Daphnia pulex: one gene and its partners. The protein of the gene in region 2 binds, or shares a complex with, the protein of the main gene of each other region. Links are inferred from orthologs where the notes say so. Each region holds a gene or a part of one and is shown on either strand. Other genes may lie near its edges. The genes, in order: GATOR complex protein WDR59-like, GATOR complex protein MIOS-A-like, nucleoporin SEH1-like and GATOR complex protein NPRL3-like.

Region 1 (7,168 bases), on a different chromosome or scaffold from region 2:
TCTAATCCGGTTCATTCGTTTCTTGGGAATAACGATCTAGTTCTTGAGTTTGATTGGAAATCTTCCCGTTCCGGTATAATCAAACGTTCAAATTTAAATTTTTGGACTTTGAAATTATTTGATTTTTATATGTTTAGATGACGACGACTATCAACTTATCACCTGGTCAAAAGATCAGAGCTTACGAATTTGGAGAGTGGATGTTAACCTTCAAAAAGTAGGGCGAATTCAAATTTCAATTATTTTTCTGGTTTATGTAAAAAAATATTTAAAAATATTCTTTTTGCCAGTTATGTGGCTATGAACCTGAAAATCAACCACAAATCGTATATGAAGAAAACGAATCGACTTATGACGTTACTGGTGACATAAATTCATTAATTATTAGCATGAAAAATCTGTTTTATATTGTATTATTTAATTATTTAATATGTTCAGCTGTTGACGCAATTTCAACAAAAAGCGACAAAGACATTGAAGTTGGGCTTGAAGTAGTGGAAGAAACCTATTTAGACCTTCACCATAGTTTGGCACCGTCTATAATTGTACCTGACTCGTTACGCCTAGCTGGACATAAAACTGTAGCAGCCTCTATAGCTGCAGCACAAGCTGTACTAACCAACACGTTATCACCAACATCCCATCGGAAAAAGAAGTCTGCGCTGTCAATAAACAGTAGCATCGTCGGAATAGATGCGATTTCTCAACCTGAACATTATTCATTCAACAAGGAAATCGACCAACTTAAGTCATTAGGTAAATTTATGTCCCAAATGAACTATTAGTAATTAACTGAATACGTAAACTTTTCCCTGGAATAAATTTGTGGTTATTTTTCTGTTTCTTCAGGTTCCATTGGTACTGATAACTCTATCAGTGTTTGCGATGTAGACGAGACACAACGAAGCTTAACAACAGTGATTCGCACTGCAAAGCATCAAATAATACTTCATATTTCTATGCCTCCATCGTATCCCGACGGAGCGATTCCAAATTTTCTATTCGGAAAAGGAACGACTATTGACAACAATGCCAGAAGCAAAATGTTAAAAGTATTTCGAGAGAGTTTATTCTTGCGTAACTCAAAAGATTTATTTGACACGGCGGCATTGTACAGGTTTTGAAACAAGCAGCAACTCTATCGTGCCGCAAAGGTCATCCGTCTATAGAGCTCGTGCTACAACAACTTCTAATTTCAGTCGATCAGTTAACACCAATTGATAAGTCAGAAACGGAATCGTCAAAGACCATAACATTGAATGTCAACTCATCAACTACCGGAAATACTCCTTTCAGGTAACATTTAATTCGTATTTAGTTACTTAGATGAAACGTATATTCAATATGCTACTAAACATAATTAACGAATCTGTTTTCTAGGTTACCGCAAACTGGTCTTGGGCATCCTGGTTTCCTACAGAATGGCGGTTTATTTGGTAGTCTAACTCATCATCAAGACCACAATATTCCATACCCTCGGTCATCCGGTGCTCGATTTTGCAGTGCTGGTAATGTCATTAAAACAAAAAACATAAAAATATCCTTCAGCAAACTGCTATATTGATTTGCCCTTGTTTTATTTTATACAGGTATGCTGATTTGTTTTGGTCGACCATCCTATTTAAGGTTTTTGATTAATTGAAATGATTAATCGTACGACTAGGAATTCATCAGTTCTATTTTATTTATATAATTGAAGGCGTGTGAACAGTAAAACTTCGGACACTTCAACTACACCTCGTTCTCTATCCGTGAACCAAGCTTATTCATCAAACTTGGTACAGCATAGCTTGGTAGCTTCATCAAATACGACTCCTTATGGATTGTTGTATCCGCCCGTTGCTCAAAGTCCGACCGGTGATCCGTCAGTCAGCATCTCGTCTTTTTATAACCAAGACAGGGTAGGCTATACTTGGAAGTATTTCCGTGATTGCTGACATTAGCCTTTTATTAATGAGATAATTCCATTGCTGATTAAATAACAAAATATTTTGTAATTCATTCAGAGACAGAAATCTCGAACTTCTAAGTCGAAAAATAGACTTTCCTCTTATAGCTCGTCTTCAGACGAAAATAAAAGGGGAGCTCAAGAGGCACGTCATCATAAGGTGGTCGGAATGGTGACGATTTACGATGCTTCTGGATTGATGCCACAGCAGTTAGAATTAGCAGAAAGATATGTGTTAGTTTATCTTTTATATATTTTCTTGTATAATAATTCCTTGAATCAGATTTAGTCATAGTTTCATTACATATTTTTATTCACCAGATTTAGCGATACTGATACGGCATGGATGTGCAACCAAAATGCAGCGGTTGCTGCGCAGTTTGGCAGAAAAGATTTGACTTACATTTGGTCGTTGGGTGCCCTTCTGGCAACTCCTACCTTGATACACGAAAATAATACCAATGACCTTGATACCCCATGGGCTCAAAATCCATTCGGCCGGAAGCTTCTTCATGCGATGTATGTATATGTGTATTTATTTGATCTCTTTAGCGTATACTTAAAACAACACACCAACATTATAATTTATTACAGTATCGACCACTACGTGAAATTACGAGATATACAAACTGTAGCCATGTTGTGTTGCGCATTTGGTTACAAATGTGATAGTCAGGAAACTTTCCGGCGTAAAACAACACGATCGGAATCGGGCAGCGTAAGTGTAGAAGCTTATTTTAATTTTTTAACATGAAATCTGGCATTCTGAAACTTGGTATCACGATTAATAGCACTAGAACCGATAAGCAAGGTCTTACGTTTGATTGTTAAAAAGGTGATCGTCGGATTGGCTTTTCTCTCGAGTGTTCTGATCATAAAATCTTTTTTTATTCTAATTTCTTCGTGCTCGGCTTCCGTTTCCTGATTGCAATCTGGTTTCGCCTTCCTTTTTCAGGGGAATAATTGCATTTCAAATTCTTTGTGGTCTGTCCTTTTGTTTTTGGTTTTTTTTTTTTTTTTTTTTTTTTTTAACTAAATTATCTTGCTCCATAATATCGCTACTTCTTTGTCTCAACATGCTCTCTCTAACACTGTGGCTTATTTCCTTGGTGCTGCTGGGATTTTGAGAATGCTGACTGCGGGATATCAATGAGTTTTTTTTCCTACAGCGCAACTTACGGTGGGGTTTAAAGGTAGGCATATATTCCTCTAGATTTTACCCCCACGTAAGTGTGATGGTTTTTTTACATGAAAAATATCTAATCACAATAGTGGAGAATATGAGTTTTCCTATTTTTCCTCGCTTTTTTCTCTTTTAAGCTCTTATGATGAGTGAACTTTAATTATTCTGATGTTCAACATTAGCCAGGAGAATCACCGTATCATACAATACACCCGGGCGACACAACTTTAGATAGCTGGAATGTCTTAAAACAAATACGTTCAAATTCGTGGTCGGATTCACTTGATGATTTTCGTCTTGCAACTCCTGGAATTAACTCTGTCCCAAGTGGTCGCCCTTTGCCAAGTAAGGGCTTCTCCTTAAATTTTTAGAAATGTTATCAATTTTGTCTGAATGGGTTTTTATTTCAGTCGCTTCCATTTTCCTACCCCACTCTGTGACGAGCGTCGTTTCAGTGAATGGGACTGATGGAAGTGAAGAGTATAAAGACAAGGATTTCAGGTTTGAAATTTTTAATAATTTTGAAATTTTGATCGCATTCACATCAAGAGTTTTTATTGTTGTTGAATTTCGTAACTAAGCGTTTTCTTTTCTCAATTTGATTTCAAGATTACTAGATCCGAAATTTAATGGATTATTTGACAACTACCGTCGATGTTATGCTGATATCCTTTATCGCTGGGGACTTCTCGAGGCTCGCGTTTTGGTATGCGGATTAAAAATAATAACTTCTTGGCCGTACTTCTTGAAAACCAATTTTGTCTATTCAAGGTTTTGAAATATTTATCCACTCCCATTGATCCTCATAGAGGCGTGGATTTCGTAACTGAGTGTGTTCCTTGTAGGACTACGGTTAGAGGGCCGCAATGCACCCTTTGCAAGCGTTTGCTTCTCAATTGCGTTATTTGTCGAGTTGTTGTAAAAGGTAACTATCTTAAAACCATCTAGTAAATATCAGTCATGTAATAGCGTTAGAGGTGGCATAATGGTTGAATCATTTATTTTCAGGCTCTGCGAGTTTTTGTCTGGTGTGCGGACACGGTGGTCATGGTAGATGCATGTCGCATTGGTTCACTGAAGAAGACGAATGCCCTACAGGATGTGGTTGCAACTGCTTGTTGGAAAATAACACTGTGTTTTCCGTCTGATAATATATTAAATCGCATTAAATACGTTGAGACAAAGAATACATTTGGTTTACAAAAAACTTTGAAACTATACAAATTTGCTACAAAAGTAAAATTTCCGTTATTCTCAGGTTAAAATGTTAAATTTCTTTTTTATAAGAAACAAACGGAATACTTTTTTAAATATTTTTGCAGAAACAAAAAATATTATTAACAAATTTTTAAAAAAGTCCCGATAGGGATTCTAATTACGTTTCGACCCCAAAGCGTCACTTTATCGTTTCGATTACTTTAAAGTGGTCGGTCAACCCCCTGTGCAGTCCGTGACGTATTCCTAATACACTCATTTATGAACGCTCGTTACAAAAGTTGACGTTTTCCTAGCGAGTGATAAATGAGGTAACGTGTAATCAAATGTTGCTAACCTTTTAGGGGATTGTGGCTTATGATGTATAGAGGATAACGAAATTGGAGTGGGTCACTTCCGAGTGTGTGTCGAAACAAAACGGAACGACGGAGGTTGCGGTTTCTTGAAAAGGATAATTCACTCGTATGCACCAAATTACCGTTTGTCGAAAGTGACACGGCAGTGAGTTGCGACGCTCAAAACTGTCGACTAGTGAATCACGTCAAGTTATCCAAATCGTTCGGGGAAAAATAAAAATCCCTCCTTTCCTAAGGCTGAAATCATAAATGGTAGGTGTTGTCCAATATTTCCTAGTTTAAATTATGACATTTAACAATTATTCAACATGCTTCATTCCATGTCATGCAAAACAGGGAAGTTCATAATGCGGAATTTCAAATCTATTTTGGAAACATTTTACTTTGGTTACGTTTGCTGGATGTTGGTATTATCCAGCTCAGTATCGGCCGTCCACTCCAAGACGCCTTTGACGAAATGCTGTTTGAATTATCAAGCTGTAATTAATAATAATAATATACATTAAAAAAAAAAAAGATTTAAAATTAACAAATAATATCAATACAATCTGCAGTACATGGCGGAATTGGACGTCTGCCGCGATTGGAAAGGCTCCGTAACCCATTCGAAAATGTCCGCGGCCCCGCCCGTTTATTCTGTGGAGAGGAGTGCTGAACCCACTCCCGTCCGCGTTGAATCAAACAGTTTTCAAATGACGCATCGCCTCAAACGCTGCCCAAAAGGCTACGTTGGAATGAGTTCCACGGAATTCAGATTTTACGAGGACGGCTCCATTTTCAGCCAAGACGAACACGTCACTTACCAATCCGGAGACTTTTGCATCCAAGAATCCTTTCCTTCCGGACAGTTGATAGCCCGCTACTGCGTCCGAGATCCGTGCAACCGCACAGACACCTGCATCCGTAAATGCTGTCCAACCTTCAAGGCGTTCGATATTTCCACGACGCGCTGCATCAATTACTCGAGCCAGTTGAACGTGACGCTTTACAATCAAACCGGCTATTCGCTTAACCTGAAATCCGAAGAAATGTTCGTTCGGGACGGAGTAGCTCCACAGTGTAAAGATGGCTACAAGCACAAGCTTCTCAATCAACACGATTACCATCTGAGATCCAACGGTCTATTATTCGTATTCCCCAAAAAACGATGCTCTTCACAGAGTCAGACTGATGTTGACCTAATAACGGATGAATATTGTGTTGATTATTTCATGGACGTTGACGGCACGGTAACTAGATTTGAAAAATACCTGGAATTAATTTTTCCGAATTTTCAATAAGCTTTTGGTGTAATAATGTAGTCCGCTCAACATGCTCTGGTCTGTGTCGCAGCCGATGATACAAATCCTATTTATTCCATCTTCTTGTTCATCTCGTCTTTCTTCCTAGTCGCCACATTCGCCGTCTACGCCCTCATTCCTGAAATTCGAAACATCCACGGTTGAAATATCAATTTATGCGCATTTTGAGTTCCAAAAAATAATCTTGACCATCTATAACACTATAATAGGTGTGGTTATCATGTGCTACGTTGTCTCCCGAGCTGCTGCTTACCTGATTTTTGGCACTCTCCAATTGGTTGGCACAACCCGATCGACTGTCGCTTGCCGAATTATGGCCATCCTGATTCATTTCTCCTACATTTCCACCTACACCTGGCTCAACGTTGTTTGCTTCGACATCTGGTGGACTTTGAAGTAGGAACAATTTCACGACTCTCTCTTGTGTGCACTCCAACTATATATATACATTTGGTTTGTGCAGATCCATGCAACCGTGTAGTTCCGTCAACACGGCCATCCGTCAAAATCAACTGGGCAAACCTTTTTTCGCTTATTCGCTCTATTCGTGGGGTCTGGCGGCCGTCATCGTAACAGTCGGACAGGTTTTAGATTATTACAAGACTTCCGAGGCCGTCATCAGACCCGAATTCGGAGAGGACACCTGCTGGTTTTCAAGTAAAAAATTAAAAAAGAAAAAAAAAAATTGATAATGTGACAGACTGACATTTACAGCTTTTTTAACTGATGACCATGAAAACACTGTGATATCACCCCACAGGTTACGGAGCCATGTTCGCTTACGTGTACGGTCCGGTTTGCGTCTTGATTTTCGTCGATATCATCTTTTTCGTCATGACAAGCATTCTACTTCGACGAGCTGGGATCGGGTCGGGAAATCGCCACTCCCGCGAGAAATACCGGTTGGTCTGCCATCTTTTCTTTTCTTCCCATCAATACATACACCGTCATAAATGTCTTCACTTTTTGGCATGAATCATTTGAATATATTTAATTCAACAGCTTGCGCGTCATTTTCGGCTTGTTCGTCCTGAAAATCGTTTCGTGGTTGGCCGAGTTCGTGGCGTACGCCATCGGCTGTCTCAACGAAGCGGCGTTCGTCATAGACGTCATCGAAACCTCGTCCAGCGTCCTGACTTTCGCCATCTTCGTCTGCAAGCCCAAC
Region 2 (7,694 bases):
AGAAGCGGTGATGGAAGAAACGATCTGGCCAATCAGACGGTTCAAATTGGTGTACGAAGGGCGTTCAATATCCAAATTACGACGGCAAATATCATAAATAGCTTCATTGTCGACCATGAAGGCGCAGTCGGAATGTTCCAAAGTAGTATGGGTGGTCAAAATCGAGTTGTACGGTTCAACGACCGCAGTGGACACCTGTGGAGCAGGGTAGATGGCAAACTCCAGTTTGGATTTTTTACCATAGTCGACTGAGAGACGTTCCATCAACAAAGAAGTAAATCCAGACCCAGTTCCTCCACCGAAAGAATGGAAAATGAGGAATCCTTGGAGACCAGTGCATTGATCGGACAACTTTCGGACACGGTCTAGGACAACATCAACGATTTCCTTTCCAATAGTGTAGTGACCACGGGCGTAGTTGTTGGCGGCATCTTCCTTGCCAGTGATCAACTGCTCGGGATGGAAAAGTTGGCGGTAAGTGCCAGTGCGAACTTCGTCAACCACAGTCGGCTCCAAATCAACAAAGACTGCTCTTGGCACGTGCTTTCCCGATCCACATTCCGAAAAGAAAGTGTTGAACGAGTCATCAGATGCTCCCGCAACTTTGTCTGACGGCATACGCCCATCAGGCTGAATTCTAAAAATTTTAAATGATTAATTTGTCGTAGAGATAAAGCAATTAAAGGAAATGAATAACTAGACATAATATTTAATCTTACCCATGCTCCAGGCAATAGAGTTCTAAAGAATTATAAAACAGAAAGGGAGGGTTAAAAACCATTTCTTTCATAAACCATGTCTAGACATCTCACCCCAACAGGCATTTCCGATTTGGACTCCGGCTTGTCCGACGTGGATTGAGATACATTCGCGCTGTAAGGGGAAAATATGTGATTACATTAAACTTTTGAAATTAAAATATATTTTGACATATACAATGGGGCACAATAATTATATTTCCTTTCCAAAATAATTGTTCAGTAAGCACCGAATAACGTGTCAAAGGAAATCAGATCAAGGACATGCATTGTGACACCCTAACTGACAGGAAGTTTGAATCGCTACCGGCGACCATTTGCAATGATGCATAGGGCGCCAAGGGCGGGACCGGCATGCGGTCATGCTTCATGCACTTGGGGGCCATTTTAAAGTCAAATTTTTGGAAAACTCACTAGAAAAATGACAAATTTGCTATTGTAACTCATATTAATGGCTCTACATGATCTCATAGAATTATCAGTGCATCCGTGTTACATAAATCCTAACATTCATACGACAAGATAGCTAGTTACATAAACATGTCACAGTTGAATTGGAAAAAGAAATAAAGTTTTAGTAACATACCATTTTCAGAAGTGATTTGGAATGGATTCGAGTTAACTTTAATTAAAGTGGTAACAAAAGCGAGCGTTTATCACTGAGCAACGAAGTAATGTCGTCCTCTGTGGAAAACGGGTCTCGGGATACTGATAAGAGTAACGGAAAGACTGCGATAAAGAAAACGGAGAGCCTATGCGTCACCTGGCGGTTAGAAAATGTCACTTTTTGAATTCACGTTTAACAAGGCCAAAACGTTTTCCTGCGGAGCTTTAAGAGACTAGAGACATGGCAAATACTCGTTCAATAATCCGGTTAAATATTATCAGATTTTACCATTAAACTTTTTTAAAATAAGAATATTTTTAAAAAAGGTTTCTACCAGTTCTACTGCTATGAAATAATTGCTTTGTAGAATGTATAATGGTTTGAAACATAAATGTCTATGGCGATTCTTTTATATTTTGTTTACTTCTCTGTTCATTTTTTGCAAAGGCAGCTCTTAAGGAAGACATGATAGAGATCCGAAAAATTTTGAATCGCAAATGCCACTGTACTTTGGAGAATTCAATTTTTGGTTAGCGTGTAAAATTAGAAATAAAGATCAAGAAGAAAATGCAACACCAGAATTTTCATATTTGATCGAAAGGCTTTAAAAAGAAGAGATGGAGACACGAAAAATACTAATCAGACACCTGAAGCTAGGTTAAAAGGAACCATGTTTTCTTAGGTAATAAATTGGTTTAATATTCGTCGTTGCCTTCGCCCTCGCCTTCAACGGAATCCAATCCCACCTGGAATTTTTTAGAAAGCAAATGATAAGCAAGTAACTTAAATATGAAAAACACATTAATCAATACCTCCTCGTAATCTTTCTCGAGAGCGGCCAAATCTTCACGGGCCTCGGAGAACTCTCCCTCCTCCATACCCTCACCGACGTACCAATGGACGAACGCACGCTTGGCGTACATCAGATCAAACTTGTGATCCAAACGAGCCCAGGCCTCGGCGATAGCAGTCGTGTTGGACAACATGCAAACGGCACGGGAAACCTTGGCCAAATCACCACCAGGAACGACAGTTGGGGGCTGGTAATTAATACCGACCTAATAATAAACAAGATGGATTACAATACTACTGTATGCAATTACTCTAATGCAACCATACCTTGAAACCAGTTGGGCACCAATCAACGAACTGAATGGAACGCTTAGTCTTGATGGTGGCAATAGCAGCATTAACGTCCTTGGGTACGACATCTCCGCGGTACAACATGCAACACGCCATGTATTTGCCGTGACGGGGATCGCATTTGACCATCTGGTTGGCCGGCTCGAAACAGGAGCTAGTAATCTCTCCGACAGTCAATTGCTCATGATAAGCTTTTTCTGCGGAAATGACCGGTGCATAGGTAACAAGCGGGAAGTGGATACGAGGATATGGGACCAAATTGGTCTGGAATTCTGTAAGATCGACGTTAAGGGCTCCATCGAAACGGAGAGATGCCGTGATGGACGAGACAATCTGCCCAATTAATCGGTTCAAGTTGGTGTAGCTGGGTCGTTCGATATCCAAGTTTCGACGGCAGATATCGTAAGTGGCCTCGTTGTCGACCATAAATGCGCAGTCTGAATGCTCCAGAGTAGTGTGAGTAGTTAAGATCGAATTGTACGGCTCAACGACGGCAGTGGAGACTTGAGGTGCTGGATAAATGGCAAATTCCAATTTCGACTTCTTGCCGAAATCGACAGAAAGTCGCTCCATTAAAAGTGAAGTAAATCCGGAGCCAGTGCCTCCGCCAAATGAATGAAAGATAAGAAATCCTTGAAGACCGCTGCATTGATCGGACAGTTTGCGCACTCGATCAAGCACCAAATCAACAATTTCCTTTCCAATGGTGTAGTGGCCTCGAGCGTAATTGTTGGCGGCATCTTCTTTTCCAGTGATCAACTGTTCCGGATGGAAAAGTTGGCGGTAAGTGCCAGTGCGAACTTCGTCAACCACAGTGGGTTCTAAATCGACAAAGATTGCTCTCGGGACGTGCTTGCCCGAACCGCATTCAGAGAAGAAAGTGTTGAACGAGTCATCGTTTCCACCAATGGTTTTATCTGAGGGCATACGGCCATCAGGCTGAATTCTATATGGGTTACATAATTAATGTTGCATGGAAAAATCAATGAAATTGACATGTACGCAATAATGAAAATCTTTGTAGTTTGTAAAATATTCTTACCCATGTTCCAAGCAATACAGTTCTAAATTAATGAATAAAAAAAATTACAATTAATTAAATTTCTTTTTAAATTTCGGTTTACGTTTTATTTATTACCCCAACAGGCATTTCCGATCTGGACTCCGGCTTGCCCAACGTGAATTGAGATACATTCGCGCTGTCGAAACAAACAAATTTGATTAGTGCTTGCATTGTATCAAGTGACGTCATTAATCCGAATTAGACGAGGAACTCTTCGTAAAACCCTCCCTTTTCAATCAAATTTAACAGAATTTTAAGTGCCAGATGTAACGTAACACCGGACATTCATTATTGATTGGGGGGGAGAGCAAACAGGAAATCCGAGAAATTTCAGCTGGCGACCATATGGATAGATGCTGGGGGCACCGACAACGCGGACCGGTAATGAGACTTTGGGGGGTAGCCATTTTTAGGTTATTTTGGATGTCGCAAAAGAAAAAATCGCAGCAGAAAACCGATAGTTTCGCTAATACAATTAGAGGTCAAACTATCGCGTGATTTAACGCGCAATACTGATTGTACGAAAGGGATTGTGACGACATTTCAAAGGATTACTACACGCACCATTCTCAAAGTAACCCAAGCACATTAAACGGACGAACGTACCATATTGAGAAGTATTTAAAGCTGCGGATTGACTATGTAGTTTGTCGTGCGTGGGATCGATGAGCGTCTTTCACAGAGCAACGAAGTGATGTCGTCCTCTATGGGAAAACGGTTCTCGGGATACTAAAGGAGATCGAAGAGACGGAGAGAGCCTGCTAAAAATAGCGGAAAAAGAAGAGACACCTGGCGGTTAAAAATGTACAGCCTTCTTGAAAATACGAATTCTAGTGGTTTAACCGGTGAAAAGAGGATTTAGCGCAGTCAAATATGAAAGTTGGTTTTGATGCGAGAATTCTCACAGTATTTCAACAATCAAGTATTGAATGTGGTTATCGCAGCATAAAGAGAAGCAAATAATGAACTGTCTGAAGAAGGAAACAAAATTACGTAGAAAGTTATAGAGGTTCGTTTAATAAAGATAAAGAACCCATTCACCTGGATATTGCTGTGACTGCGAAACAATATACTGTATACCAAAATTCGCAGTTTCCGATTCGTTCTGGTCGATAGCGGAATTAACTGGGTCGCATGCACCAAGCGAAACTAAAATCTGTTTACGCGCCTAAAAATGCCTACGTGCGAGACGTGATTCGTTCATTTACACCTAGAGGGCTCTTAGCGTTGTAAACAATTGTTCGTCCCTCATCGCCACTTACCGATTGTTGAGCAATTCCAAATTTTTTAAATCCTTTATCACGTCTTCCACCTGGTTGACATTGATTCATTGAATTTTGTGTTTTCCGTACAATAAATAAAGATCTCTTTTCCAATGGCTGGTGGGCGTTTGGAAGTATTTTGGTCCCCTAATAGCCAGGACAAATTCATCACTTGGGGGAGTGATATTTGGCTCTATCAAGTTAAAAATACTTCCGTTAGAGATGACATCTCCTCGACCCATAGTAAGAAACTATATTACCTTACGATTATCATGTGTTTATATTTTATTTTCTATTTCAGGCTTTCAGATATCGAATAGTAGTAGGGCTTACCAGCTAGGTTGTTTAACAGATGTAGCATTTGCTAAATGTCTGGCATGGCTCCCTGTACCAGAGCTTGAAGGAGTTATTGCCATTGGCCAGATGAATGGAAGAGTTTTGTTAACATCAGTACTTGGTTCTGGAGAAACTTCCCCCTTAAATGGAAAAGAATATGCATCAAAACATAACAGACAGTGCAACACATTAGCATGGGGTCTAGCTGAGCCTTATGTCCTTGCAGCAGGGTTTGACAAACACAGATCTGAACATGGATTGATCTTGTGGGATGTTACTAAAGGTGGGAGTGATGGTAACAGACCCTTTCTGGAATCAGCATTTGGAGACACAATTACTTCTGTAACATGGTTCAGTCATTCACAAACAATGGCAGCTGGGGTCAATAACAAGCAACTTCGTCTGTATGATTTAAGAGGTAAAAAAGTTCAGCATGATTTCTTACCATTACAATAGTAACACTTTTAATTTACTTTTCCAGATGGACCAAAGCACACAAGTTCAACAAATACTCGTGCAGTATTTTCAATCATTCAGGATCCTTTTGTTAATCACAGAATTGCATCATATAGTGATAATGCCATATGCATTTGGGATGTAAGAAATTTTGAAAAGCCTGTTCTTTCACTCCAACAGAATAAGGCCGTTTCCAAGATATCCTGGTGCCCCACTCAGTAATTCCTCAAAATTATAGGATGGAAAAAAAATACTGTTGAATTAATGTTCAATTTTTTTAAATCAACAGTCACAGTTTCCTGGGAGTCTTGTGTAAAGAGAGCACTTCTTTGTCCTTGTACGACATTCAGAATGCCAACGGTGTAGCGGCAGAAGAAATGGAACCCATTCCGTTGGAACGTGGATTGATTTTGACTGATCAGCAAAATGAAACCATATCTTCTTTTGCGTGGCATTTAAACGAAGAGAATCGATTACTTTATTCCACAACATCACTTAATATTAGGGTATTTTATCAAATAAACGTATTGATGATAGATGTTACCATATTTATCCTTTTCAGGAGCATATAGTTGTTGATCGAATCACGCTTAATTGGTCACCATCGAGTAAACTTGTATGGAATTGCGGCAAAAAAATATTGCAGTACATCGATGAAACTGATTCCGTCTATACCAGGTAAGAATTTTGGTTTTGCATATTTAAATTTGACCACCCCTACCTTCTCTGAAATGGAAAACTTCAAATTTAGGTTCGGGGATGTTTCGGTAACAATGCGCCAGCGGGCAGTTGAAGGTTACGGACTTGAAGCTGATTTCAAACCTGATTCAGAATTAATGCAGGATGTAACGACCAGGGAGCTCTGGTCCTGGGTCGATACTTGCCGGAAGTTGGCTCAATCAGGAAATCCGCTAGGAGTTCACTTTATGGGTATTAGGTAAGGAAGTTCACTCGAAATCTGAATATATAATTTGATATTAAAGATGGAAAAACTCTCGAAAGGTCTGCTTTGCGTTTGGATACGGATGGAGTTCTAAAATCAGAAGTATTCCACGTTCCCTGGAATGGTGTGGAGTCCGCAAAAATTTCACCTGTCTGCGTCTACAGGTAAATATATCTTTTGAAGAAAAATTAGTGGACTACCTATTACAAAACCAAAAAAATTACGGCTTTTTAGGAGTGAAGAACGGAACCAAGCATTGCGTCTGTGTGGTTGGCCGTACGATCCTGAAAATTCCATATTGGGACCATTGCTAGAAAAGCTTCAAGCGGATGCACAGGTTTCTCGAGCCGCTGCCCTGGCTGTTTTCCATATGAAGATTCGTAAAGCCATAAAGATTTTGACTCGTAGTGGTGTACAGAAAAATCAAGTGTCTTATCAGTTAGTCGCCCTCGCCTTAGCCGGTAAATTTGAGTTTAAGTTATAGTATCATTTCCATAATTTTACCTTTTTCTTCTACAAGGATTTACCGATAATAGAGATACGCTGTGGCAACAAGAAATATGCAATATGAATAAAACTGCTCTGGATGATCCATATCTGCGAGCAGCATTTTCTTTTTTGACCAGTCCATCGGAAAAATACGAAGCAGTCTTGGTATGGGATCATCCATTTAATCTACTTTGATATTTATAATTGTAATTTATATTTGCTTTAATAATAGAACGAAACAGGAATGACTGTTCGGGATCGAGTGGGGTTCGCTTGTTGCTTCTTGTCCGATACTCACCTAAGTGAGTATGTTGAACATCTTAATCGGCAGTTGACCAGAGAAGGAAATTTGGATGGGATGCTTTTAACGGGTAAGTTAAAATAGCTACTTTTTTAAACTTAAACTAGAAGTTTAAACATTGTCATTACCATCATTCCAGGTTTGTCAGGTGAAGGACTGAATCTGCTTCAGAGTCATGTGGACAAATCAGGTGATATTCAAACAGTCAGTCTCCTCAGTTTACATGCTTCCAATCTTGAAGTGAGTAAAGACGGACGAATGCAACAATGGGTCAACAGCTACCGATCTCTGCTTGATAGTTGGAGGTTATGGACGCAACGGGCGAAATTTGACGTT
Region 3 (7,223 bases), on a different chromosome or scaffold from region 2:
AAACTGGAAGACCTACCAAATGACTGGTGTTTATTTTCACGCTTCATTATAATCACAGCTCACTAATTATACCTTGAGTGTCGATAACACTAGAATGACCTGTATGGATATAGAGCTTTTACGCGCTACTTGAAGTTCGTTCCATTCGTTAGCAACAAAGAACATCCTCCATACGCTAACTATTTCGCCTTTCGTCGGCCTCGGACTCTCCCAGTCAATAAGAAAAATATCGACGTTACATTGTTCTCCGATCATCCATAATACACTAATCGTCTGCAAAGGATCCATAGATACAATCGGATACAATTAAAATGACCTGACTATGAATAGTTCCAATTATTTCAGACCTTTAACGTGAAAGCACTAATGACAAGGTCTTTAATAAACTGTTCTTCTTGCCTTGCAGGAAGACTAACAGTCACTTCCTCTTGTTGTCGAAAGGTCATAAACCAGTAAAAAGTGATGAAGAAAATCACTATTAAAATTACGTTGGCCAATATGTCTGCTCCGTAGACCAACAAGCGAATTAGAGTCTGAAGATCAATTGTTGCTTTATCTGATCTTATGTACCTGGAAATTATTTATTATTAGTGAAAACCCAATCAAAGTTAGCTAATCAAATTATCCAAAGTTGCCAGTACATACCATACGACAATCCTTATCAAAGCATAAAGAGCCCCGAAAGTGCTCAACACGCTCAGTGCAATCTATTGATAAACCAAAAAATTCATTATTGATAACGTGATTGTGAATGCGAGGAACAATGTGATAATTTCTACCTCAAGAGATTTCATAGCTTCATCCATACTAACGGTATTTTTTACAGCGAAATGAATAACGGGTGAATTTCCATTCTCAAGGCTACCAATAGATTCGTAGTTGATTGTTGCATAAGGTAATCGTAATGCTAGTGATTTTTCACCAGACATAACAGAAATTCTAAGAAATGCGTTCAAGTTTCAAAGTTGTTCTCGCTTTTTTTTTATAATGAAAAAACTTACCTAATAGTAAGAGAAGATAGATATCGGACGAAGTCGGTGTTTCCTTCTTGATTACTTCCAGTTGCCGAGTCAAAATTAAAGAACCTCTTTGTGAGTTGCCATCGAGAAATATCTTTATCCTCCTTTGTTCATCAGGTTTTAGTACCGTAGTAATGTTGTATTTTCTGAGCGTATAAACTTACCCTATTACGTTGAACGCCTCCGCGAACAAGGTTCAATATTTTTATTGGAACGTTGATCAATCTTGATTGATTAATTGCCCGATCAACGAAATAAATTTCATAAAAGCGCATATCAGCCATGTTGAAAACTTTCGAATAAACCGAACAGCTGTGATAAATATTGGCATTTCGTTGGATTGGTTTCCAAGTTCCAGTGCAGCACAATGATTTAAAAACCGATTGAAGAGGCTGGATCAATAAATATGTACCATCTAATGCGTATTGTTTAACCATAAAATCCATTTTCTAAAAAAAGTCATTAATGAAAAACTTTTCCTGTTTAGTCCGTAAAAGTTATAGATGCTACTTGATCTTTCAGTATGTTTATCCTGGCGGAGTTTAGTAGATATTCGTTTTGACTATCGTCGTAGTATATTGAATTGCTAAAGCCTCCAGATAATTGTCGATAAAGAGAGCAAGCTGACTGAGAATCGTAGTTGTAATCCGTTAAGACACAGAGATTGATCAGATGTTCGCAGTATTTTCCTCCACCGTGTGCCTTTAAAGAAAAAAAATTGGTGTTTAATAGCACAAACATGGTAAATAATTCCTACCTTGCATTTAATTGCCGTCAATCTAACCCAATTCCGCAAATAATTAGAAATGTAAGGTCTCCCGTGTAAGTTATATGTAAAGATAGTGGGTGTTTCGGGAATCGTGAATAAATCTTTGACGCAAGTTCCGTTCACATCTTCGTATTCACTAGGACAATGACACATGTTCGAACAAGGAACGCACGAAGATTTTGTGTCATCAGGCTGATGCCAAAGCGGGCATTTCAGACATCGTGCGGAGGTAATATTTCCAGTAATTTGAAGGACTGTGATAAAAATTCAGAAATTAATTCTTCTTTACTATACTTAGCAGATAGGACCTAGGTAAATGTGCGTTTTTCATACCTTTGATGTCGTACGGTTCACACGTGAGATTGCTTTTTAGACACATTTCTGACTGAATTGATTGGTTACAGCGTAAGCATTCAATTGCTTTGGACTTTTCATTAAATTCAGGGTAGTAGCCAAAGCCACACTCACAACTCAAACGGTCATCGGAAGATATTTGAAAGACCCCGCAACCTTTGCACTTATGTGATATCGAATCAAAGTAGGAGGAACGATTGCAGCTTTCAGGAAACGAAGACAATATGACATCGTAAGCCTCCACCTTCTTTAAGATGAAAAAAAGCAGGTAATGAGCAACTAACACGATCATCGTCACTTTAAATTTTTGTTTGTTTTGTAAAGCATATTTGTTACCTAGCAACCACTCCCCAGCAATGAGCCAAGTCAGCCAACCAACAATATCAGAAAAAACATCGTTTCTTTCATGAATCAATCTGGCAACGCCCACAACTGTCCCATACTGCCATAGTGCCATACATTTGAAGTTTGATCAGTCGAGCTGTCGGCTGCTTGCGTTCTTGCTTTCTTAATTCTGTGAAATTTGCAAGCAAAAACTTGTTTCTCGTGATTAAGAAGTGATTTAAAAAGTTCTGTAAACATGTTTCAAGCAAGAACGATAAATGCTGAACACAAAGACCTGATTCATGATGTAGCTTATGATTTTTATGGGCGTCGATTGGCTACTTGTTCCTCCGACCAGAGTGTTAAAGTAAATTGTTAGAAATCGAAAAAAATTTCTTGTGTTAACTAAATTGCGGAATTATCTTTCAAGGTTTTTGACCTGGATGAAAATGATGAATGGAGATTGACTGCTGATTGGAAGACTCATGCTGGTTCTGTTTGGAAAGTAAATTGGGCTCATCCTGAATTTGGTCAAATTTTAGCCACTTGCTCATTTGACAGAACAGCTGCAATTTGGGAAGAAATTGGTTTGTAAAATTCTTTACAATTTTAACAACTTAAATTAGTTACTAAATGCATATCCAGTTGGTGAATCAGGGAATTCAACGCAGAGTAAAAACCAAAGTCATTGGGTGAAAAGGACAAGTTTGGTAGATTCAAGAACCAATGTGACTGACATCAAATTTGCTCCAAAACACATGGGACTATTGTTAGCTATGTGTTCAGCTGATGGAGGAGTAAGTTCTAAGATATATTTATTACATTGTTAAATATATAAACCAGATGAAAATGTCAATTTTATAACATAATAGGTTAGAATATATGAAGCCCCAGACATTATGAACCTAAGTCAATGGAGTTTGCAGCAAGAAATAACACTGAAAATGCCTGTGTCTTGTCTATCATGGAATCCGTCATTTTCTCGTCTCCATCCTCCAATGTTGGCAGTTGGTAGTGATGACACGAATGTCGCCTCTGGTGGAAAAGTGTTTCTGTTTGAGTACAGTGAAAGCTCCCATCGCTGGTCTAAAGCTGAAACTATCAACACAATAGTCGACCCAGTGCATGACATAGCATTTGCACCTAACTTGGGAAGAAGTTACCACATTCTAGGAATTGCAAGCAAAGATGTTAGAATAGTTATTCTTAAACCACCTCAGTAAGTAGTTAAAATATTTTAAGGATGGAATAAGAATAAATTTATAATTTTTTTTATTAAAGGAAAGATGCTTATGCAGCAGCTTGTCCAACTTCCCAGTTGGAGATACTGCAGGCAGCCCAATTTGATGACCATCATTCTACTGTTTGGAGAATCTCTTGGAACATTACTGGAACTATTCTAGCTTCTTCAGGAGATGACGGCTGTTTAAGAATGTGGAAAGGCAAGAAATCAAGAAATATTTAATGCCATGTCTGGCCTATTAAATCAGCTGTTTTTACTGTCTATTTCCACAGCCAACTATTTGCAGAATTGGAAATGCATTGCCGTGTTGAAAGGTGATGGATCGGGTGTAAGTCCAGAAGACGGAACTGATCGTGATAAAACCGTTTCTGCAGCAACTGCTCGTTACTTTAAACTTGGCGCAATCAGCAATCCAAATCAAGTACCCTGGCACTAACATTTACTTCCCAATTTTTATGATAATAATATGTCTCTTCCAATCCACACAAATAACTGGGAGTTTTCATTTCTGGAGAAACCCATGGTCTCGAAAATGGAAAGTTGTTCTGAAGAAATAAATGAAATGATATGGAGTTTTAAACTATGTCATTTTTTCATGTCACATTCGTTTAGGGTCAAGTTGTTATAAAAACACTTTTCTCTAGTAGAGTAGCTATTTGTTTTTTTGTTAGGAGGGAAATGATTCAAATGATTTGATCATTTTCAGCTGCATTACTGCATACATTTACACATCTCTAAGGACATTTACAACAATAAACTGTAAGGTCATTTTTGTGATTTTTGACAAAAACTGAATATTACAAAACTCACCTGTTAGATTTTTGCAAACGTTTGTTTTTGTCTACCTCCAGTTTAAAAGTCAGTAGTTCCGTAAATATTATCAGTAAGTATTATTTTGACGCAAATAAGAAAAGAACTAAGGATTTGTGATCTTCGTCAAATTTTGGGTCGATTGCATGTGTCTGTAGGAAATATAGGAAAATCATCCTATTCGTGATTTTCCCTAAACTAGTGATAGCCATCACAAAAATTTACGATTTTAGTTTTAAAAAAATCATTTTTAAACATGGGAAATTGAGCTATCAGTTCCTTCCGGTAAATTTGTATAATTCTAGCAAGTGAACTTCATTCTCTTTACAGTTTTTTTTTTTAGATTTGAAGTTAGCAGGTTAATACAAATAGAAATACGCTGTTTAAGTGTTGTAATTATCTAGATGGCTTAATTAGTGGACTGCCTCGTCGAGTTGCATCACAGTTTGCATGGGTAGATATAAAACTGTGTGTAATCAGCACGATGACCGAAAATAGTAAAATGCATCTTTGGTACCTAAGTGTTAATTAAAAACAAAGCGATCAGTTTTCTTAATATTATCTGACAAACTCTCAATTTCTCGGATCTCATACTTCATGCCCTTTTTACCTTGTTAAAATTGGTTAAAATCAGACGAAAACATCCTATATTAAATAACAACAATGATAAATCTATATAATTGACGAGTGAATACGGCTACAGCTATATCTTGTTCGTCTTTAGTCTTACCCGTAGTTACCCGCAGATAAAGTGATGATATTCAAGTCGATGACTACAAACTAAATTGGGACTAACTCATACAAATTCATGGAAATAACAGAACTTTGCCAAGTTTTCCGTTTATAGCATTACCCCTTATATTTAAAAAACTTTGTTCGTTTGCTTCTTTTATGAATCTTTCAGAACACAAGTGCAAAAATTTTCAATTTTGCGGGGAAATAATACTCTGTTGCTTAGTTCGGCATAGCTATAACACAATATAGGGTGTGCGGGTGCGGCATGTGAAATCACTGTCCATCAACCGTGGCGGCTGCATCTGTACTTGTTAGCTCATAGCCATCGGGCAGATGTATAGGTGGCCTACCAATTACCTCCGCTGTCTATTTCGATGCTATTCACCTCAATGATCACAGCATGAAAAAGCCATACCATTCTTCTCGCTTTACATCCCCCGAAACCAATGTGATATGATAGCCTAGTCTTCCAGTAACACTGGTTATTGAGGGTGCTAGTTGCAAGCTCCTCCCTTTGATACATCTATCTTGTCGACTAAGGAAAACCAAAGCCGTTCGCGGGTCAGCCATCGGTTTCATTAGTTAGCAAGATTGTCGCCCAGTGATGTTGAGTTGTCGGAGCTCTTACTCAAGCAAATCTATTTAGACGTGTGCATTATTTCGAACCTAGAAGATGGATTCCGAAATGATCAACAAAGAGCAGGAAATTAATCAAGAAGGTTCCACAACAGAGGAGTCCACGATTAATAAAAACATTGTTAGAAACAGACTGCCGCAAGAAGGAGTTTTCATGGCTGCTGTAGACAAACCAATCGAGTTAATTACCGTTAGGCCGAAACCGAAAGTTGATTTCAGCATTGAAGCAATCCTATCGTCTCGAACATCTACACCATCAGCGATTGTTGTCACTTCATCGGAAATCTTCACCTCCGAATCCAAGTCGAGGTCCATCAGCGATCACAGCGATCCCAACTTTTCCTGGGTCTATTGTACACGCTACCGACCTCCGAAGCTTCCACGTGAGTCATTTGTAACACTGTTAATAGAGATAGAGACATTTTGTTAACTAATGTAATATTTCTAAAGGTGCTAAAAGAGAAATGAACTTAAGGAACCGTTACCGTAATCCGCGCATACCCTTCTCTACAACAGAGGTGGGGGCATTGGAGAGAAAGTTTCTGCAGTCTCCTTATCTTGGTAGCAACGACGTCAACGAGTTGGCCGCGGCACTCAACATGTCCCCCAAAAGAGTATGTATTATTTTCAACTATCCATAAATATTATGCTAAATCTAATTCTACTTTCATGTCTAAAACTGCTGCTGATTAATTTAAGATTTTTTAATTATTATCCAACGTACGAAATTTTATGTTGAAATGCAGTCAGACCATCTGATGATCCGTTACAGTATGTGTGTATCTGTTGCTTTTCACTACAAAATTTAGTTTAAATTGAAAAATGTGGGGGGTGATTTACCTTTCGAGAAACGAGAGCGGAAAAGTTTTTTGTTAGCGGTAAAATGAATCCAAGCAGAAAGAATGTTTGTGTTGGGCGCTGCTCTTTTGTCGGTAATCTATTGAAAGAGCGCAATCCATTCAAATGCAGGCAACCGTGTGCTAACACGCTAACCAATAAGAAAACCATCATGTTTGTTGTAGGTATTGTGCAGCTTTAGCCCCCATCGACGTGACCTAATACTAATTGAGAGAGTAACATACTGTATCATGATAGAATATCCGTACGCGTGCCGACAGTCGGTATCGAGTTTCAACCGAAACGGGTCCTATCGAATTCCTCTCACATTACAAGTTTTCTGGTTCTTTCAACGAACTTTGTAGACTGTTAATGTTATCAGTTTCGAATCCGATTGACTGTGAACAACCTATTTATTTGTTTCACCCTCTTTTTTTTTTATCTCTAGGTAAAGATTTGGTTTCAGAACAGAAGGGCTCGCGAGCGTCGTGAAAGG
Region 4 (7,844 bases), on a different chromosome or scaffold from region 2:
GTAACGCTGTATAAGTAAACTGGAAGCTTCATAAGTGCTTTATTCCATGTAACGATCATTACAAACGTAGTATTGTTGTAGATTGGGGAATTAGTGGAAGAGCTGTTCTTTTGTTTGTATCAGCCGTTACTCGTCTTCTATTCATGTGTAAAAAATGAATACATGTGCATGTACATGTTATTTACCATTTCGTAGTTGTCGTTATGAAATCATGCGTTTTATAGCGCTTTTTTTAAAACTACCTTAAGTCATGTCGCATATCTAATTAGGTTTTTTTCCCCCAAGAAGCCAAGCACTTCCACTAGTGGTTAGATATTATACATAAATACAAAGCTCGAGCTTCGAATTCAAGCAAAACGTAACACGGCGTACAAATGTAGGGAAATTTGATTAACTGCTTGGACGTGTTTATTTAATCTTTGCTAGTAAAAAAAAAGAGAGGCCAACACCCAAGCAATAAAAGTAAGCCAGCAGTTACACACGCACGTTACGATATTGATTGGTTTCAAACCTTCTCCTTCTCCGAAAAATGCTTCATCGTCGCTCTCAAACGTGTTATCGGGCACCTTGTAAAGGCGGATGACGGGCTTGTTAGGATCCTTCACCAACAAATATTTGCCATCCTCTTCCTTCATACACAAATAATTAATCCAACGGAGAATGCCCCAAGCATTGTCGATATTAAGGTTGATTTGCGATGCGAAATCTGACAGGTGGAACTGCTGTGTTCCAAGGATTACACGACGCGATGTATCTCGTAAGTGCATACGTGAAACATATCTGAAGCAAACAATATTAGTTACAATAATGTTCGAAGGACAACAGGAGCCTTCACATACCCGAATTTAATCCAATCAGAGTTGGCGAGCAGAGCTTGCACAGTCCATTTTGCTAGCTTGCATGCATTATTCTTCAGCTCGTTGGCCTGAACAGCACCTCGCTGAGTGTCCAGTTTCTGGCGCCATTCGACTTCACCAGACAACTTGAAGTACTAAATTATTTTAAAGACACAGTTTCATTACGAACAGTAAATATGCATACCCTTGAGTCCCATTCATTAAGAGCTTTGATGTTGATAAATTGGTTATCACCAGCCGATCCAACGGTGACAGCGTCATGTTCGCAACGTGCCACCAGGACACCACCTCCTGAAAACTTAGTATTAGACTATTTATTTCAAATTCAAAGTTTTAACCTACAAACCTTCATCAAAGTCAGTACACAAGGAATGTTCTCTGTGTTTAGTCTCTTGGTATTCATGATCTATTTTAATGCCATTAAAATGATTCATGAGAAATTGTTGATTGGTGGAAAAATGAGAAATTGATGATTGGTGGAAATATTGACAAATTCCCCCCAAAAAACCTAAACCCCGTGAAAAAAACACCCTATCGGGAAATAAATATTTAATTTCGGTGATATTTTAATTAGAAATTGACGTAGGTGTTCGTTAGTTGTCGCCGCCTAGCGGTGATTGTTGGTTTACCACTCTATGATTCTCTGGTTTTGTTTTGGTTTGGTTTGATTAGGTGCGTCTGCTATCTGTGATTCTCTGGTGATTCTCTGGATTCTGTTTGTTTCTAAAAACCATAGTTTACAATTCTTAGCGCTAGGTGGAGACAACCAACGAACACCTCTCCCGTCCCCTCAAAATTTAACCGCAAATATCTTTTAATTTAATATCTTCACAAGAAAGGTGCTTTGGAGACTTAGAATAGCTTTTTTAATCTCTATCGATTGACCCTTCTTAAAAAAATATGATTAAAAATACACCCGACAAGCTATAACACGGCGGGATAGGACGTGAGTCCCGTCCTCTAGCTTTAGTAGTCCATGGTGGATACAACAGGCCTTAACCATAGAGTAGGCCATGGGGTAACTAGGCTACTACTACTATAAAAATGTTGGCTGTTAGATCTTTCAATAGACTTATTTATTTCAAAAGGACACAAATTGGAATCCAAAATGAACAACTGAGGTATGAATTTTGAAATATTAACTTGTGCATCTGTGTGAGTGTGACCTTATTATGGAAAATGAGTATGTGACAAATAAATAATGATGGTATATTTTTTTCTAGGACTGTTATGCAATCTTGTTGCAGTAGATCCACTAAGCAACCAGAAAATCCTGATATGCCTTTGTCATTTTCCAACTCAAACGCTGCCAAATGGTCAGCACAACAATCATTTAGTGGTGGAGGAAATACTGGTGAATCTCCATGGTATGAGCCATTTGTGATTTCAGCTAGTGTTACTGCCATACTAGTGTGGTTTTGTGTCCTGAGAGAAGAAAATGATGTTGATGATAAACTTGGAAAAAGTTTATATGACAGAGTTGATGGTTTGGAGAAGAAACAATTGGAATTGGCTTTGAAGCACAATATCCAAGGAGTGGATACAGTAGCCATTAAGAAGAGACTAGATGAATTGTCAACAAATAGTTGAATTTCCTATCTGTAAACATAATTTAATTGAAGTTGAAATACATTAAGTAAAAACCAGTTTATTGTTTGGTAAATTTTTTGCGATTCTCCTTTTCAAATCATTTGTTTGCTATTTATTTTTTTTACGTTGAATCTGTGAAGAAACCGTAGATGGCACTGTTTTGTTTTTGATTTTTAAGAATGCAGACGAAAATTGAAGCAAATCTCAAAAATTGACAGTTTGCGTCTTGCGTGGTGTTTCTGCCTCTAAACGCCTGAAGTTAGCGAGAAAATTCATAGAAAAAGAAGCATGGATGTCAATCCGTTGGCGGTAATTTTGGGTAAATATATTATTTACAGATAAAGCTTATTTCAAAAGAAAATATTTAATGGGAACAAACGTGGCTTTAGTCGAAAACGGTAGCAAAGGTGATCGTTTGTTGTTTCGCTATCCTTATGATACTCAAGCTACACCAAACTTTGCAAAACGTACACGCGCAAGTAAGTTCCTTACGAAACTCCATAACTTCCAGCGCAAGTCTCCAAGTTTTTTCTCTGTTGTATTGTATAGAGCAACTGCAAACTCCATACCCCCAGATCAGTGCTGAAGATATGCAAAAAACAAGTGCAGCATATTCCAGTACAATTAGTGGTAGTGTTCACAGCTTTCCAAGCAAAGTATGTTAATATACTCTCTTAATATAATCTGTTTTGAAACATTGAAGGTTATTAAAACATTTTTTCAACTATTTAGGTATTATCCAATTTGTTTGCTGTGAAATCAGAATTGTGTGGAAAAAAATTTGAAATAAAAATAAATGACATTCGGTTTGTCGGTCATCCACTTCTTGTTTACCACCAGGGTGAAGGCAAATCTGCTGGCTCTAGCCAGGAATCAATTTTGTCTTTCAATGTAGTTTTTGCCTTAAAGGTAAAGAGATTCCATTTTAAACTTGCATGATTTTCATCAATATTTTTTACACTTCTAAGGCATCTGCAAGTCATGCAGTAGTTGACTGTTATCATGAAGTAAGCAAGAGAATAGCAGCTGCACTTTGGCATGAAGAGCGTAGAGTGGCATATTTGAGTGAAGAAGCCAAGGTCATGACATCCACTCAAGATGACATTTCTTCGGAATTGCCCGATGATCCACTAGATGTGCCGTACCATTTAATTTTACAACGAAGTCAGCTTGCGCGCGACTTGCGTCGTGTCTACGAAGATTTACAAATTTCTGGGAAGATACATTTGCGCATCAATCGATGGATTCTGATCAGCTGCTGTTTACCTCAAAAAATCTACCACCTTCTTGACCCTGGACTTGTTATTGAACCAGCAGACATTCATGCTTGCATGGAAGCATTGAGACCATACCACGCCATTTTGCTGCTTGGGGACAAAGAAAAAATCATCAATAATCTACCTCTTGATTCGTCCCCCGCTTTGAAACGACTCATAAATCTTGCGAATCCCCTAAAAAGTTTACAAACTTTAGCAGCCGATGCTGACTTGACGCTATCACACGTCTTTCAATTAGTGGGTCACATGCTATACTTTGGACACGCAACCATTATATATCCTCTTTGTGATAGCAATGTTTACGTCCTTGCAGGCAGTGCCAACACTTCCCCACAATCCAAACTTGCTGATGTCTTCTCCGAAATGTTCAATAGTGCTTGTTTAATTCAGATTATGTCCGAATTTTCCGTTCCTGTATCATTGAGCCAGAGAAGGAATCCACTCGCCACTCCAGAGCAAGAATCAGAGGAAATTAAAATTATTATTTGGATGCTGCAACATCATTTGCTCATACAATTGCACACATATGTACATATTGTCGTTGATGACATGCATCCGAGATCATTTAACAAGGGTTCATTTCGTAGTGCCAAAACGGTAAGTTTTTGTGTTTAAAGTATAACGATTACTGTAGTTAAATCAGACAGTATTGTTTGAATTATCCCCTAGACGCGTGTAACGTTTGCAAGTCGCCAGTCCACTCCAGATGAATTGAATGCTGGATCCAGCCTTACACGAATGCCCAGCGATAGCGACATGGCCTCTGTTATTAGTGACGAGGCTTTGTCCAGTCCACCTTCACATAAGAGCATCAGTAGTAAAGCTCCGTGGTCAATCGAAAATATTCTTTCGGCCTCTCTGAGTAATGCTGAAAGAGAGGCTGTCCTTCAAGTTGATGCCGCTGCCAACTCAGAAGACTTGGAACTTTTTGCTCGGTAAGCTAAACTATTATTTAAAAACATCTTTTCATGAATAATCTAATAGAAGAAAACACAGGCTTTGCAAATATTTCCGCGGGAAACACCATCTAGAGGAAATCATGTACTTGGAAAATGTTCGAAGATCGGACCTACTTCACCTTATTGACAAATTTCGAACTATTCTCATTACATTCGAACATGAAGATTCAGCTTGCTCCGTTTTCTACAAGAATTCTACAACTTAAATATCATATTTTTCAGTGGAAATCAAAATTGGTGAATGTTATATGGAAGTCGTTTTCACTTGATTTAAGTTAAAAGCGGTATGTGAACATTGGCGTTAACACTAGCTCGCATCAAAAACCCTCCCTATTGGTCTCCTACGAAGCCGACTGTTGCCGTAGCTCAATACCTGTGTCTACATCGCAGCTTGCGAGGTAATCTTACGTCAGGAAGTCGGTTGGGGGCTAGTGACAGATAGGCCAATGTCGCATTCCTGTTCAACCTTTGTAAACTTTAAATTTTATCTCAGGACAGTATATGTTTTATTTGCTATTAAAATATGAATTTTCCTAAATATTTTACAAAATCCTTAGAATCAAATTTGGCAGAAAGTGAGATTGCTAATTGTTTGGTAAAGCAAGAATAAATATATCTACTTTTACATATGTTAGCTCTACTTTACAATTGTGCATGGTAATATTCACCTTTATGAGGAAGCAAAATAGATGGCAATGAATGAAGTGATGATGACGTACAGTGGTGAAATATTACAAGCTAAAACCTGTTTAAAGAATCTTTTTTCGGGAAAAGCTCAAAGAGGTAGAAAGATAAATAAAGAGATCGGCTGAACGACTGCTATTATTCGCAACGTTCTGCTTCGCGGAGCTGATTTCCTTTGTATGCCATTGATCTCGGATGGCGGAGCATCTTAGGTCGAAGGTTATCTACATCATCTTCCTCCAACTCTTTTCGGGCTTGGATAAACTTGGTTTTGAGAGACATAACATCATCGCCAAACTCAGTCAGTACAGTAGACATCTTCGAAACATAGGCTGCAATCAATTAAGAAGTTGCATGTGTTAGAAAATAAGAGTAAACAATAATTTTACTTGACAAACCTTCAAGATCAAAATCAAGTTGATCGGGAAGTTCGATTAGCTTAGCAATCGTTTCATGCCATTTCGGAAAACTCTCAAGTAAATTACGATGACTTTCAACGACATCTTCCTCCATCTCTTGTAATCGGAATGCCGCTTCATGAAATGAATACAATTCTGCCGAAAGTTCTTCTTCTTCTTCCTAAAATACCATTGTAGCTGGAATAATGAAACACAAAAAAAATAAAAATAAACTTCCGAACCATGATCAATTGTAGATTAGGCTCCGAGAATGATGGGCTCGATTTCAACAGGTTTGGTTCATTTTCGGAGGGATCACTCACATCCACTGCTAGCTCTTTCACACGATCAGCATACCTGAGTGTATTCAGTGAATTCTCACAAGAGGACATACCAGGACTTATCATTGCGATCTAAGAAAATAAATAAATTAAAACGCATATTAATCCATTTATCACCGCTGTATTGAAATTTACCATGCAAGTTTTGGATTTTTCTCCTATAAAAGAATCTTTTAACACTTGGGTTAACTTCGAAGCACGAAAGGGAAGATGCGCTCCTCGCCGCCCAAGAGCCCTGATACATTCCTTCAACGCTAATAGGGACTTGTTGATTTCTGAGCCCTCCATTCCTAAAAACTCATAAATCACTTGAAATAAAATAACACAAGGAATTAAAATGAGAGCTAACTTGTCTGTCGATCCGAAGAGTTAGTATCCGCTCCACGTTCGTTGCCAGCAAGATCAACAAGGGAAAATTTGCCATAAAGCCGAGAAGCAGCTCCAGTGCGCAGAATAATTTGAAACACAGCGTGAGAACGTGACTACAATGACCAAATGAAAGACAATTAAAAGAGGAACCTACACTATCCTAAACTAAACCACTACCGAATTTGCATTTGCTGCTGTTTGACCACTAGTCCTCATTCGACTACCATGACGTATAAGATCCAGAACCTGATCAACAGATTCAACAGTTCTTTCACTTAAACCCACTACTTGAACTTGTTGTTTTCCATCTTCCAATACGCGTAGCTTTGCTTTACCATTCAGTAAGTCAAAAACCTAAGAAAAATCTTGAATAACGGTGAAATAGAATAAGCGTGTAAATAAACTTACTTTTCCTGAATAAATTTCGAAAAACGATGCCGATACTTTAAGATTAAGGTCGCGGTATTTAGGCTGTTGAACATTTTTAAAAACATCAGTTGCCGTTAAAACATAAATTCCGTTACCACAATTCTGATTCTTCCCCTGAATGAAAGCACATTAGGTTATGTACTACAGTTAACGTGGCAAAACAATTTTCTATTATAAAATACCAGAAACTCTCCGCCCATAGTGTGCGTCTTACCACTTCCAGTTTGACCATAAGCAAAACAAGTGGCCATGCCTCCTTCGAAAAGTGTGCGTACCAACGGGCGTGCAGTACATCGGTAGACTATTTCGTTGTTGCAATTTTCGTCGAAGGCATAATCATATCGAAATAGCTGGTTTTCCAAAAACTTGGTCAAATCAACCTTTAAAAGTTAATAGCAAGTTGTTATATCAAGATTAGAAAAAAGATATGGACTAGTTAACTATTTACCTTCAATTTTGGCTCATGTACTATAATTCTCTGTTTGTCAGGTATAGATACTATGTCAACTTCCTTTAGATCTGTTTCTTTTTTGTTCATTGGTCGTTTTCGAACACAAACAGTGATCTGTGGATCAGAGTTTCCTATATCAAGAAAATCAGTATCACGAATAGGATGGTAATCCAATGAAGCACAAAATTCCCTAAAAAAATTTAAATGATTAAGATTTAATAATAGTAAACTAAGACAAAAATTGTACTTAATCATGGCAGAAAATTCCCAGTTAACATTTCCTGGATCTTTCTTCATCATTGTCTTTTTCTCTTCTCTTGACTCTGCATTACGGATTTTTCTTTCTTCACGATTCTTCTCTAACCTTTCCACTTCTTTAATGGGATTAGTACGCCGTCTTGCTAAAAAGAAAAATTTAAAGAAATGATTGTTAACTATGAACTATTACTAAAACAACATACTTGCCATACTGTTTGTCACTGTTGGTTG

The links.
Region 1: GATOR complex protein MIOS-A-like (region 2) and GATOR complex protein WDR59-like share a complex: the UniProt entries of both Drosophila melanogaster proteins name them as parts of the GATOR complex. The link is inferred for Daphnia pulex from reciprocal best matches to the Drosophila melanogaster genes mio and Wdr59.
Region 3: GATOR complex protein MIOS-A-like (region 2) and nucleoporin SEH1-like share a complex: the UniProt entries of both Drosophila melanogaster proteins name them as parts of the GATOR complex. The link is inferred for Daphnia pulex from reciprocal best matches to the Drosophila melanogaster genes mio and Nup44A.
Region 4: GATOR complex protein MIOS-A-like (region 2) and GATOR complex protein NPRL3-like share a complex: the UniProt entries of both Drosophila melanogaster proteins name them as parts of the GATOR complex. The link is inferred for Daphnia pulex from reciprocal best matches to the Drosophila melanogaster genes mio and Nprl3.

What each region holds. Positions count from the first base shown.
Region 1 is NC_060019.1:12,025,554-12,032,721, reverse strand, and holds the end of GATOR complex protein WDR59-like, read left to right. Parts: coding exon 1-73; intron 74-137; coding exon 138-217; intron 218-290; coding exon 291-363; intron 364-438; coding exon 439-756; intron 757-849; coding exon 850-1,052; intron 1,053-1,117; coding exon 1,118-1,296; intron 1,297-1,380; coding exon 1,381-1,508; intron 1,509-1,589; coding exon 1,590-1,626; intron 1,627-1,699; coding exon 1,700-1,901; intron 1,902-2,006; coding exon 2,007-2,182; intron 2,183-2,269; coding exon 2,270-2,467; intron 2,468-2,542; coding exon 2,543-2,666; intron 2,667-3,076; coding exon of another isoform or gene 3,077-3,117; coding exon 3,118-3,141; intron 3,142-3,313; coding exon 3,314-3,476; intron 3,477-3,541; coding exon 3,542-3,632; intron 3,633-3,740; coding exon 3,741-3,837; intron 3,838-3,902; coding exon 3,903-4,056; intron 4,057-4,139; coding exon 4,140-4,279; 3' UTR 4,280-4,301; downstream 4,302-7,168. Other genes in the region: G-protein coupled receptor Mth2-like, read left to right, coding at 5,050-5,181, 5,257-5,931, 6,004-6,142, 6,213-6,399, 6,467-6,660, 6,764-6,905, 7,006-7,168. UniProt on the Drosophila melanogaster protein: A component of the GATOR complex, which functions as a regulator of the amino acid-sensing branch of the mTORC1 signaling pathway.
Region 2 is NC_060021.1:9,126,140-9,133,833, forward strand, and holds the start of GATOR complex protein MIOS-A-like, read left to right. Parts: upstream 1-4,789; 5' UTR 4,790-4,946; coding exon 4,947-5,076; intron 5,077-5,134; coding exon 5,135-5,587; intron 5,588-5,642; exon of another isoform or gene 5,643-5,650; coding exon 5,651-5,843; exon of another isoform or gene 5,844-5,914; coding exon 5,915-6,131; exon of another isoform or gene 6,132-6,187; coding exon 6,188-6,303; exon of another isoform or gene 6,304-6,376; coding exon 6,377-6,562; exon of another isoform or gene 6,563-6,627; coding exon 6,628-6,732; intron 6,733-6,792; exon of another isoform or gene 6,793-6,802; coding exon 6,803-7,029; exon of another isoform or gene 7,030-7,088; coding exon 7,089-7,222; exon of another isoform or gene 7,223-7,289; coding exon 7,290-7,428; intron 7,429-7,486; exon of another isoform or gene 7,487-7,497; coding exon 7,498-7,694. Other genes in the region: tubulin alpha-1 chain-like, read right to left, coding at 1-637, 720-741, 813-873, 1,345-1,347; tubulin alpha-1 chain-like, read right to left, coding at 2,061-2,111, 2,178-2,423, 2,485-3,454, 3,551-3,572, 3,647-3,707, 4,178-4,180. UniProt on the Drosophila melanogaster protein: An essential component of the GATOR subcomplex GATOR2 which functions as an activator of the amino acid-sensing branch of the mTORC1 signaling pathway.
Region 3 is NC_060020.1:7,748,318-7,755,540, forward strand, and holds nucleoporin SEH1-like, read left to right. Parts: upstream 1-2,547; 5' UTR 2,548-2,722; coding exon 2,723-2,833; intron 2,834-2,896; coding exon 2,897-3,053; intron 3,054-3,111; coding exon 3,112-3,263; intron 3,264-3,338; coding exon 3,339-3,685; intron 3,686-3,747; coding exon 3,748-3,908; intron 3,909-3,981; coding exon 3,982-4,145; 3' UTR 4,146-4,289; downstream 4,290-7,223. Other genes in the region: meckelin-like, read right to left, coding at 1-12, 73-273, 348-570, 646-707, 780-939, 1,002-1,123, 1,184-1,468, 1,530-1,721 and 2 more. UniProt on the Drosophila melanogaster protein: Probable component of the nuclear pore complex (NPC). Involved in maintaining the localization of another nucleoporin Mgtor to the nuclear envelope of early meiotic female germline cells.
Region 4 is NC_060022.1:6,640,069-6,647,912, forward strand, and holds GATOR complex protein NPRL3-like, read left to right. Parts: upstream 1-2,625; 5' UTR 2,626-2,735; coding exon 2,736-2,766; intron 2,767-2,836; coding exon 2,837-2,926; intron 2,927-2,996; coding exon 2,997-3,103; intron 3,104-3,179; coding exon 3,180-3,356; intron 3,357-3,415; coding exon 3,416-4,321; intron 4,322-4,393; coding exon 4,394-4,659; intron 4,660-4,720; coding exon 4,721-4,889; 3' UTR 4,890-5,312; downstream 5,313-7,844. Other genes in the region: eukaryotic translation initiation factor 3 subunit D-like, read right to left, coding at 423-780, 840-982, 1,042-1,148, 1,204-1,291; uncharacterized protein LOC124195566, read left to right, coding at 1,902-1,978, 2,081-2,447; kinesin-like protein KIF2A, read right to left, coding at 5,506-5,699, 5,766-5,946, 6,008-6,178, 6,242-6,396, 6,456-6,588, 6,653-6,829, 6,884-7,018, 7,087-7,284 and 3 more. UniProt on the Drosophila melanogaster protein: An essential component of the GATOR subcomplex GATOR1 which functions as an inhibitor of the amino acid-sensing branch of the TORC1 signaling pathway.